Linked DNA regions of Arabidopsis thaliana. The protein of the gene in region 1 interacts with the protein of each later gene in a pairwise test. Each region holds a gene or a part of one and is shown in the gene's direction. Other genes may lie near its edges.

What was found.
Region 2: the proteins of RING1 (region 1) and ASHH1 interact in a two-hybrid assay, tested with the Arabidopsis thaliana proteins (one large-scale study listed by BioGRID).

What each region holds. Positions count from the first base shown.
Region 1 is NC_003076.8:3,265,940-3,269,539, forward strand, and holds RING1 (RING/U-box superfamily protein), read left to right. Parts: upstream 1-1,695; 5' UTR 1,696-1,879; coding exon 1,880-2,785; 3' UTR 2,786-2,874; downstream 2,875-3,600. Other genes in the region: AT5G10370 (helicase domain-containing protein / IBR domain-containing protein / zinc finger protein-like protein), read left to right, coding at 27-1,249; AT5G10390 (Histone superfamily protein), read right to left, coding at 3,126-3,536.
Region 2 is NC_003070.9:28,789,020-28,794,608, reverse strand, and holds ASHH1 (SET domain group 26), read left to right. Parts: upstream 1-1,889; 5' UTR 1,890-1,992; exon of another isoform or gene 1,993-2,183; 5' UTR 2,184-2,237; coding exon 2,238-2,258; intron 2,259-2,335; coding exon 2,336-2,400; intron 2,401-2,494; coding exon 2,495-2,651; intron 2,652-2,811; coding exon 2,812-2,898; intron 2,899-3,090; coding exon 3,091-3,175; intron 3,176-3,263; coding exon 3,264-3,357; intron 3,358-3,446; coding exon 3,447-3,645; intron 3,646-3,752; coding exon 3,753-3,787; intron 3,788-3,905; coding exon 3,906-4,722; 3' UTR 4,723-4,889; downstream 4,890-5,589. Other genes in the region: AT1G76720 (eukaryotic translation initiation factor 2 (eIF-2) family protein), read left to right, coding at 1-16, 108-227, 334-465. UniProt on the Arabidopsis thaliana protein: Histone methyltransferase involved in regulation of flowering time. Required for the expression of the SOC1/AGL20 gene. Required for histone H3 trimethylation on 'Lys-4' (H3K4me3) at the SOC1 locus.

The sequences.
Region 1 (3,600 bases):
ATTAACGTTTGTTTATATTTTTGTAGGGGGTGAATGCTGTCTGGAACCAACTCATAACGGGGCTTATCGTGTTAAAATTACTGCTTATGCAACAAGACCCGTTGCGGAGATGCGGAGAGAACTTGAAGAACTCTTAAGAGGAAGACCCATAAACCATCCAGGCTTCACACGTAGAGTCCTGCAGCATCTTATGTCCAGAGATGGTATTAATCTGATGCGGAAGATCCAGCAGGAGACAGAAACTTACATTCTATTAGATAGGCACAATCTCACAGTACGCATTTGTGGAACAAGTGAGAAAATTGCCAAGGCAGAACAAGAACTGATTCAGGCACTTATGGATTATCATGAGAGCAAGCAACTTGAAATCCACCTCCGAGGTCCTGAGATCCGTCCTGACCTCATGAAGGAAGTTGTGAAGCGGTTTGGTCCGGAGCTCCAAGGTATCAAAGAAAAGGTGCATGGTGTGGATCTCAAGCTCAACACCCGGTACCATGTTATTCAGGTTCATGGGAGCAAAGAAATGAGGCAGGAAGTACAAAAGATGGTCAATGAACTTGCACGAGAAAAGAGTGCACTGGGTGAAAAACCAGATGAGATTGAAGTTGAATGCCCCATTTGCTTGTCTGAAGTTGATGATGGCTACTCTCTTGAAGGATGTTCACACCTCTTCTGCAAAGCTTGTTTGTTGGAGCAATTTGAGGCATCGATGAGAAACTTTGACGCATTCCCAATACTTTGTTCTCACATAGACTGTGGAGCTCCAATAGTACTCGCTGATATGAGAGCCCTCTTATCACAAGAGAAGCTCGATGAACTCTTCAGCGCATCCTTGTCCTCTTTTGTAACATCCAGTGATGGAAAGTTCAGGTTTTGCTCCACACCTGATTGCCCTTCCGTCTACCGTGTAGCTGGACCTCAAGAATCTGGTGAGCCATTCATCTGTGGAGCATGTCACTCAGAAATATGCACAAGGTGTCACCTCGAGTATCACCCGTTAATCACTTGTGAAAGGTACAAAAAGTTCAAGGAAAATCCGGACTTGTCGCTAAAGGACTGGGCAAAAGGGAAGAACGTAAAGGAGTGTCCGATTTGCAAGTCGACGATAGAGAAGACTGATGGGTGTAACCATATGAAGTGCCGGTGTGGAAAGCACATTTGTTGGACCTGCTTAGACGTCTTCACTCAAGAAGAACCTTGTTATGCCCATTTAAGGACAATTCATGGTGGAATCGGATTAGTCGAGTAAGGTGTCCCAGAGGACCCCGTTGCCCAGCCCGACTAGACCGGACCTATGTATCTATATTCTGTAACATCTGGTATGCTTAATGTGTACATATGTGAAGATAGTGTAGTTCGGTAGTTATACCTTCTTTAACCAACTGAAAAAACCGATCATAATCTAAACCGGATGCCAAATAAATTAAGATTGTTGTAAATGAAAGACTTACTTGACTCGCTACATGACTGATTACGCGTAAATGTCTACAGAGAGTTTACTAAGTTGAAAGGAAACTACTTCCTAACATACAGAGACATCGCCTTTAATGGCGTTATCACTTTCAGGAAATTTCCACCCACTTTCCAACCCTTAAAAAGGACAAATCCTCTCTAATTCCTAGTCTTGTAGATTGTGATGTGTGTGGCTGTGTACCCACTTATTTCCTCACGAAGATTTTTTGGGTCATGACTCTTGTCTAGATTCTAACCCATTTTGTGGGTTTTAGTGTCCTATTTCTTTTTGCTTTCATCAGAAGCAAAAACTTGGAATTGTGTGTCATACCCATTTTCCCCTGTTCTTGTTCTGTTTTCTACTAGTTGTGTCTGAAAGTAAAGTCCTCTGTTTTTGCTCTGTTTATGTCGTCTCTGAACTCCTACAATGGCGTTTAATCACAGAAAAATGCTTCTTTCATGTCTACAGTTTAAAGATTTACGCTTTTGTTTCCGGCAATACCCTCCCCCGCCACCACCACCACCGCCACCGAGGGAGCTCTCTCTCCTACTCCCCACCTCGATCTGCGTCGTCGGCTCAATCATACTCTTTCTATTTCTAGTCTTCTTCCTCTACCTCCACATCACGCAACAACGGCGGATTTCAGCCGCCAGCGTAACTCCCGGTGACACAAACCAACAGGAAGATGAGGACGAAACAGAGGAGAGAGATTTCTCCGACTTTCATCACGTTTGGCAAATCCCAACCGTCGGTCTCCACCGTTCCGCGATCAACTCGATCACAGTCGTTGGATTCAAAAAGGGAGAAGGGATAATCGACGGCACAGAATGCTCTGTCTGCTTAAACGAGTTTGAAGAAGACGAGTCGCTGAGACTGTTACCAAAGTGTAGCCATGCCTTTCATCTAAATTGCATCGACACTTGGTTGCTCTCTCACAAGAACTGTCCTTTATGTCGTGCCCCTGTACTTCTTATCACTGAACCACCTCATCAAGAAACAGAGACGAATCATCAACCAGATTCTGAATCGAGCAATGACCTCCGTGGAAGACAAGACAGTTCCAGATCTAGAAGAAACCATAACATTTTTCTTCCAAGGGCACAAAGTGATTTGGCAAACTACTGTGGCTCAGGAAGAGTAGAAAACGTGAGAAGATCGTTTTCAATTGGAGGAAGCTTATCACTTTGCGATGGTATTAACAATGCTACTAGAAGTGGAAGACAGTTCTATACCAGCTTCAGTGCTAACTTGTTCTCATCATCAAGAAGAGTAAGGAACGAACAACCGATTCCACAAAACCAAATGCCATCCGTAACTGGTAACACCAGTTAATTGGTGTAACTACATTGAAGCTTAATGTAATATCTAGTGTGTTATATACAGTATCTGAAATAAATCGAAACTTTCAATGTTTCAATATTATATGATCAACGAGCAGCAAAACCAAAGAAATTAAGGAAAATAAGTTCTATTAAACAGGAGAGAGTTTCGTTGGGGTATTTCATCGAACACTTCAAGGCTAACTAAACCAAAGTACCTAACAACTGAAAATTAAAACGAGCCAAAGCTCAACACTTACAAGAACCCATTACTACTAAAACGCAAATCAAAATCCAGAAATAGAGTTCCATTGACGAACTAAATCAAAAGATATAAACCATAACAACAGTCTTCAAGCTCTTTCTCCTCTGATTCTCCTCGCGAGCTGGATATCCTTAGGCATGATGGTGACCCTCTTAGCGTGAATGGCGCAAAGATTAGTGTCTTCAAACAAACCAACAAGGTAAGCCTCAGCAGCCTCTTGTAAAGCAGCAACAGCACTGCTCTGAAACCTCAGATCCGTCTTGAAATCCTGAGCTATCTCACGAACCAGACGCTGGAAAGGAAGCTTACGGATCAGAAGCTCAGTGCTCTTCTGATACTTCCTGATCTCTCTCAAGGCAACAGTTCCTGGACGGAATCTATGCGGCTTCTTCACTCCTCCGGTGGCCGGAGCAGATTTCCTTGCCGCCTTGGTTGCGAGTTGCTTTCTTGGTGCTTTGCCTCCTGTGGATTTCCTCGCGGTTTGCTTAGTACGAGCCATTTCGAAATCAAACAAAGACTAATCGACCGATCGAATTTTCTTCTTGTGGAGGATGCGAATGAGA
Region 2 (5,589 bases), on another chromosome or scaffold:
CGACGGTATACTTAAGGTATCCTATTCTTACTCTGCTATATTCTCGGTAACTTGCTCACATGTCCAAGGATTCTCAATCCTTTTAACATTCGTCTTGTTTGTTTTAGATCGGAACCCCCATTTGCGTCCCGGGCAGAGAGTTCACAGATATTGGCCGCATTGCCTCTATTGAGAACAACCACAAGCCTGTTGACTATGCAGAGAAGGGCGACGAGGTGGCGATTAAGGTAATAAGGGGATCATTCCCTTCAACAACCTTTGTATAGAGAAAGAGAGAGAGAGACAAAAGTTGTTGAGGTTTCAACTTGATGCTTTTCTCTGGTTGTATAACAGATTGTTGCTTCAAATCGCGAAGAACAGAAGATGTTTGGAAGGCATTTTGACATGGAAGATGAGCTTGTGAGTCACATTTCGAGGAGATCTATCGACATACTCAAAGCTGACTACATGGTAAGTCAAGGATAAGATAAGTTGTTTCCCATCTACGTTTTCTTTGACTCATTATTCTGACCCAAAACAAATGCTCGAAATTAAAACCAATAACAATTGCAGAAAGAAATGTCGACAGAGAAATGGAAGCTCCTATTGAAACTGAAGAGAATCTTCAAGATTCCCTGAACAGTCAAATGTCTACTCTAGAGCTTAAAACACTCGCGGGCCTTGTTGTTACGTCGTGTCTGCTGCATAACGAAGGGATTTATCTTCCTGATTCGTTTTTTTAATAACTATATTAGGCTGAAATTTGTAACCCTGTTAATTAATTTAGCCAATATCAAGAAAACTCTTAATAGGTAATACTGAAATTATATAATCTTATTGAAATTCTAAATTCTCATATAAAGCATGTTATTTCGTTAAAGAGAGTTTGTTACAGACTCTGACTTATATAGAGGCCTCTTGAACCCGGTCTACACACTAAACCTTAATTAGGGTTAACTCAACCGAGCTACAATCATCATATACAGTATATTATTAGTATATATCTTCAAATAATAACCGGGAAGAAAATGTGATGCAAAATTTAAATAATGATGACTAAAGTAGCAAGATGAATTGGTGCACACAAAAAGAAAAGTAGCTAGATGATAAAAAAAAAAAGTTATAGCTAAGCCCAGGCTGTGATTTGCTCTACTATTTTCAAATTATACAAAACTGAAAGCAATACAAAATGGAAAGTAAATGAAGTGGAGACTAGTTTTTTTTTGTTCTTGTTTTTTTCCCAATTTAATCATTTTTATTTACTCACTAAATAAGTAATTAAAAATTAAGGAGAGATGGGTTGGTTATATTATTATATAATATCAACAAATATAAGAATATAATGTAGTTTTTATTACTTAAATTATCGAAATTTGTATAATCTTATTAAAAGTTAAATTATTAAAATTAAGGAGAGATGGGTTGGTTATATTATTATATAAAAATTTGTATAATTTTTGAGGAGCAACCATAGTCCAAGACCCCACCAAGGCTAAAATCACTCCGACGGCGATGGCAATAACTCTTTTTTTATCTACTCCTATAGCCATCGTTAGAGCCATCTCCCTTTACTTCATCTAGCCAAATAACTTATTTTGTGTTTTATGATCATATTTTAAAAAGTTGCATGTACCCATTACAATATAAACACCCAAAAAGTGATACTTCTTATAACTCAATAAATGTATCTAACAAAATTAGAACCTCTTTTTTGATATATTTTTTTCAAAAATATTAATTTAGAATCGTGATACAAGATTTAACACAAAATGTAATCAATGAAACGACATATAGTGTGGTCTCATAGATGTTAGTTACATGATATCTACTTTAATTAAGGTCACGATATTATTAACATGATAATTTTTCTTTTCTTTTTAATTAATTTAGCTTTGTCTATTGTTTTTTCCTAATTTTAAAAAGAAAAAGAAAAGTTGGTTGCATTCTTTTCCTAACGCCGTCTATTGTTCTTCGTCCTCGCTCGTCGTCGCGTTCTCTCTCTCAAACTCTCAGGTAAGCTTCTTCAGTTTCCCACTTTCCCTCTTACACCAATATCCAATTTTGTGTGTTTGCAAATAAATATGTGTTAAGTAATGTGGTTTCGTTTCTAGCTGCAAGTTTCTTCCTTTCCAAAGGTTTGTGTCGATCTTAAAATCCCAGAGTTTGATAAACCTAATTCTCTCCTTCCGTTTTTAATTTTGTAGAAACTTGACCTATACTAGGCCCTGAGTCTGATTGCGAGAATCGCTGACAAAAAAATGCAATTTTCTTGTGATCCTGTAAGTGAAATTGGGTGAGATTTCGATTTGGTTTGTTTTGTTTGTGCGAATTTCGCCAATGATGTTTTTGTGTGAAGGATCAAGAAGGAGATGAGCTGCCACAATATGAACACATTTATCAAAATGACTTCTCTTATCGAAAGTAAGATCCTTTCTTTGATTGCTGGCTCGTGGCTTTCGGTTATCTTCTCAGTATGCGTTGTTGTTAAGTACACATTTGTTTAACGCTTCTATAGGCACAAGAAACAAAAGGAAGAAGATATATCTATCTGCGAATGCAAGTTTGATTTCGGAGACCCTGACAGTGCTTGTGGTGAGAGATGCCTCAATGTCATTACCAACACTGAATGTACTCCTGGTTACTGCCCCTGTGGTGTCTATTGCAAGAATCAGGTTAACAACTTGAAATCTTTGCTTCCACGTTTTCATGTAATTCTAGAATCTAAGATTTGCGTTAAAGCTTGGTGATGTTCTTACAAGTTCCTATTCAAACTAATGATAATTGAGTTAAATGAATGTTAATTAGTAGTTTTACATGCTTTGCCGGTTACAGAAGTTCCAAAAATGTGAATACGCCAAAACAAAGTTGATCAAGTGTGAAGGTCGTGGTTGGGGACTAGTGGCTCTTGAAGAGATAAAGGTGAGGACTCAAAATTTATTCTTGTGTCTTTATCATGTCTGATACTCTTTACCAAGATTTATGACAATTTCCGTCACACTTCGTTGATCTAATGCAAATGGGCAAATAACATGGCTGGTGTATTCTTTTTCTTAAGTAAATAGTCAATTGGGTTTGATTAAATGACTGGTTGTATTTGATGCTATGATTTAGGCGGGGCAATTTATAATGGAGTACTGTGGTGAAGTAATATCATGGAAAGAAGCAAAGAAGAGGGCTCAAACTTATGAAACTCATGGTGAGTAGAAACTTTACAGAGATGATGAGAGTGTTGTAATGCTATAGGTGATGTTAGGTGATGTGTTAATTATGTGTTACATGAGCAGGTGTCAAGGATGCATACATTATATCTCTCAATGCATCTGAGGCTATTGATGCCACTAAGAAGGGAAGCCTTGCTAGGTTTATAAATCATTCATGGTAAAACGAACAACTGGCTTTTTACATGCTTCAAAGAAATTCATATCTATAAAACGTTCCTTATCGTTTCTTTCTCTATTTTCCTGCAGTAGACCAAATTGTGAGACGAGGAAGTGGAATGTACTGGGAGAAGTTAGGGTTGGGATCTTTGCAAAAGAGAGCATCTCTCCCCGGACCGAATTGGCTTACGACTATAATTTTGAATGGTACGGTGGTGCCAAAGTGCGTTGTCTCTGTGGTGCGGTTGCATGCTCTGGATTTCTTGGAGCCAAGTCTCGTGGCTTTCAGGCAAGTCCTTACGTTATCATCCTCATAGTATTATTTGTCAAAAATTGGGAGGAATGAAATTAATCATACTGGTCTATACCTAACCTTATACCTTTCTATCATTTCAGGAGGATACATATGTATGGGAGGATGGTGACGATCGGTAATTTTCTTTTCACTTATTTTATGCGGCATAAAAATGGTCATGGATCTTGCGAGAAAGGAATGTTTTTCATCTTGGACTGGCGATATTTTAGCCCCTCTCTTTTCTTTGTCTCCAGGTATTCAGTTGATAAAATTCCAGTCTATGATTCTGCAGAGGACGAGCTTACATCTGAGCCTTCTAAGAATGGCGAGTCCAACACAAATGAAGAGAAAGAGAAAGATATCTCAACAGAGAACCATTTGGAGTCTACTGCTCTGAATATTCAACAGCAATCAGATTCAACTCCAACTCCTATGGAGGAAGATGTCGTCACGGAGACTGTTAAAACCGAAACATCTGAAGACATGAAGCTGCTCTCACAAAATTCACAAGAAGATTCATCGCCAAAGACTGCAATTGTATCACGGGTTCACGGTAACATTTCCAAGATCAAGTCCGAATCTCTTCCGAAGAAAAGAGGCAGGCCGTTTTCAGGCGGAAAAACAAAGAATGTCGCTCAGAAGCATGTTGACATAGCGAATGTGGTTCAGCTACTAGCAACCAAAGAAGCTCAAGATGAAGTTCTCAAATACGAGGTAAAACAGTTTTTCAAGCGTATAGGTACAAATTCAAAACCTTCTCAGTATCAGATGTGTTTGGTAAATTGTTGCTTGCAGGAGGTGAAGAAGGAAGCAGCAGTACGACTCTCGTCATTGTACGACGAGATAAGGCCGGCGATTGAGGAGCATGAAAGAGATAGCCAAGACAGTGTAGCAACAAGTGTGGCGGAGAAATGGATACAAGCAAGCTGTAATAAACTCAAGGCAGAGTTTGATCTTTACTCTAGTGTAATAAAGAACATCGCTTCCACTCCCATCAAACCACAAGACACAAAGACCAAAGTCGCGGAAGCAGGAAACGAAGACCATATTAAACTCTTGGAAGCCAAATGAGAATTAGCTCGGAAGGACACCTCTAATGGACAAAAAAATATCTTAAGAACTGGAAGCTAACTTGGTTTACTTTTCACGTTTGAAAATGTAATAAATATTTTTAAAATGAGAACATTTTGTTGAAATTTAAAATTTTAGTAATCAAATTTTTATTAATCAATTCTACCAAAAAAATAAAAATTAGTAATCAAAATAATTTAATAAAGACATTTTGAATGATAAAAAAAACTTTTTTAGTTAAAATTTTATATTTATGTAAAACATATTGATCGTAGAACATCGCTTAAGGATTTTATACTATGGGGGGATGTTGTGTCCAATTATTTTACACATATTGAATTTAACACTTAAAAACAAAAATATTATGTATATTTTAAAAATTAAAATATTTTGTGTAAAATATTACTTAAAACATATTGAACGTAGAACACCGTATAAGGACTTCATACTATGGACGGGATGTTGTGTCCAATTATTTTACACATATTAAACTTTAACACTTAAAAACAAAATATTATGTATATCTAAAAAGTTAAAATATTTTGTCTAAAATATTACTTTAAAAATAAAAATAAAAACCTTATATTTTAAATAGTTATAAAAATAATATAAATGTTAAAATTTAATATGTGCAAAACATATTGAACCTAGGACACCACTAAAGGACCTCATACTATGGACGGGATGTTGTGTCCAATTATTTTACACATATTAAACTTTAACAATTAAAACCAAAATATTATGTATATTAAAAAAAAAAATATTTGTCTAAAATATTACTTAAAAAATAAAAATAAAAACCTTATATTTTAAATAGTTATAAAAATAATATAAATGTTAAAATTTAATATGTGCAAAACATATTGA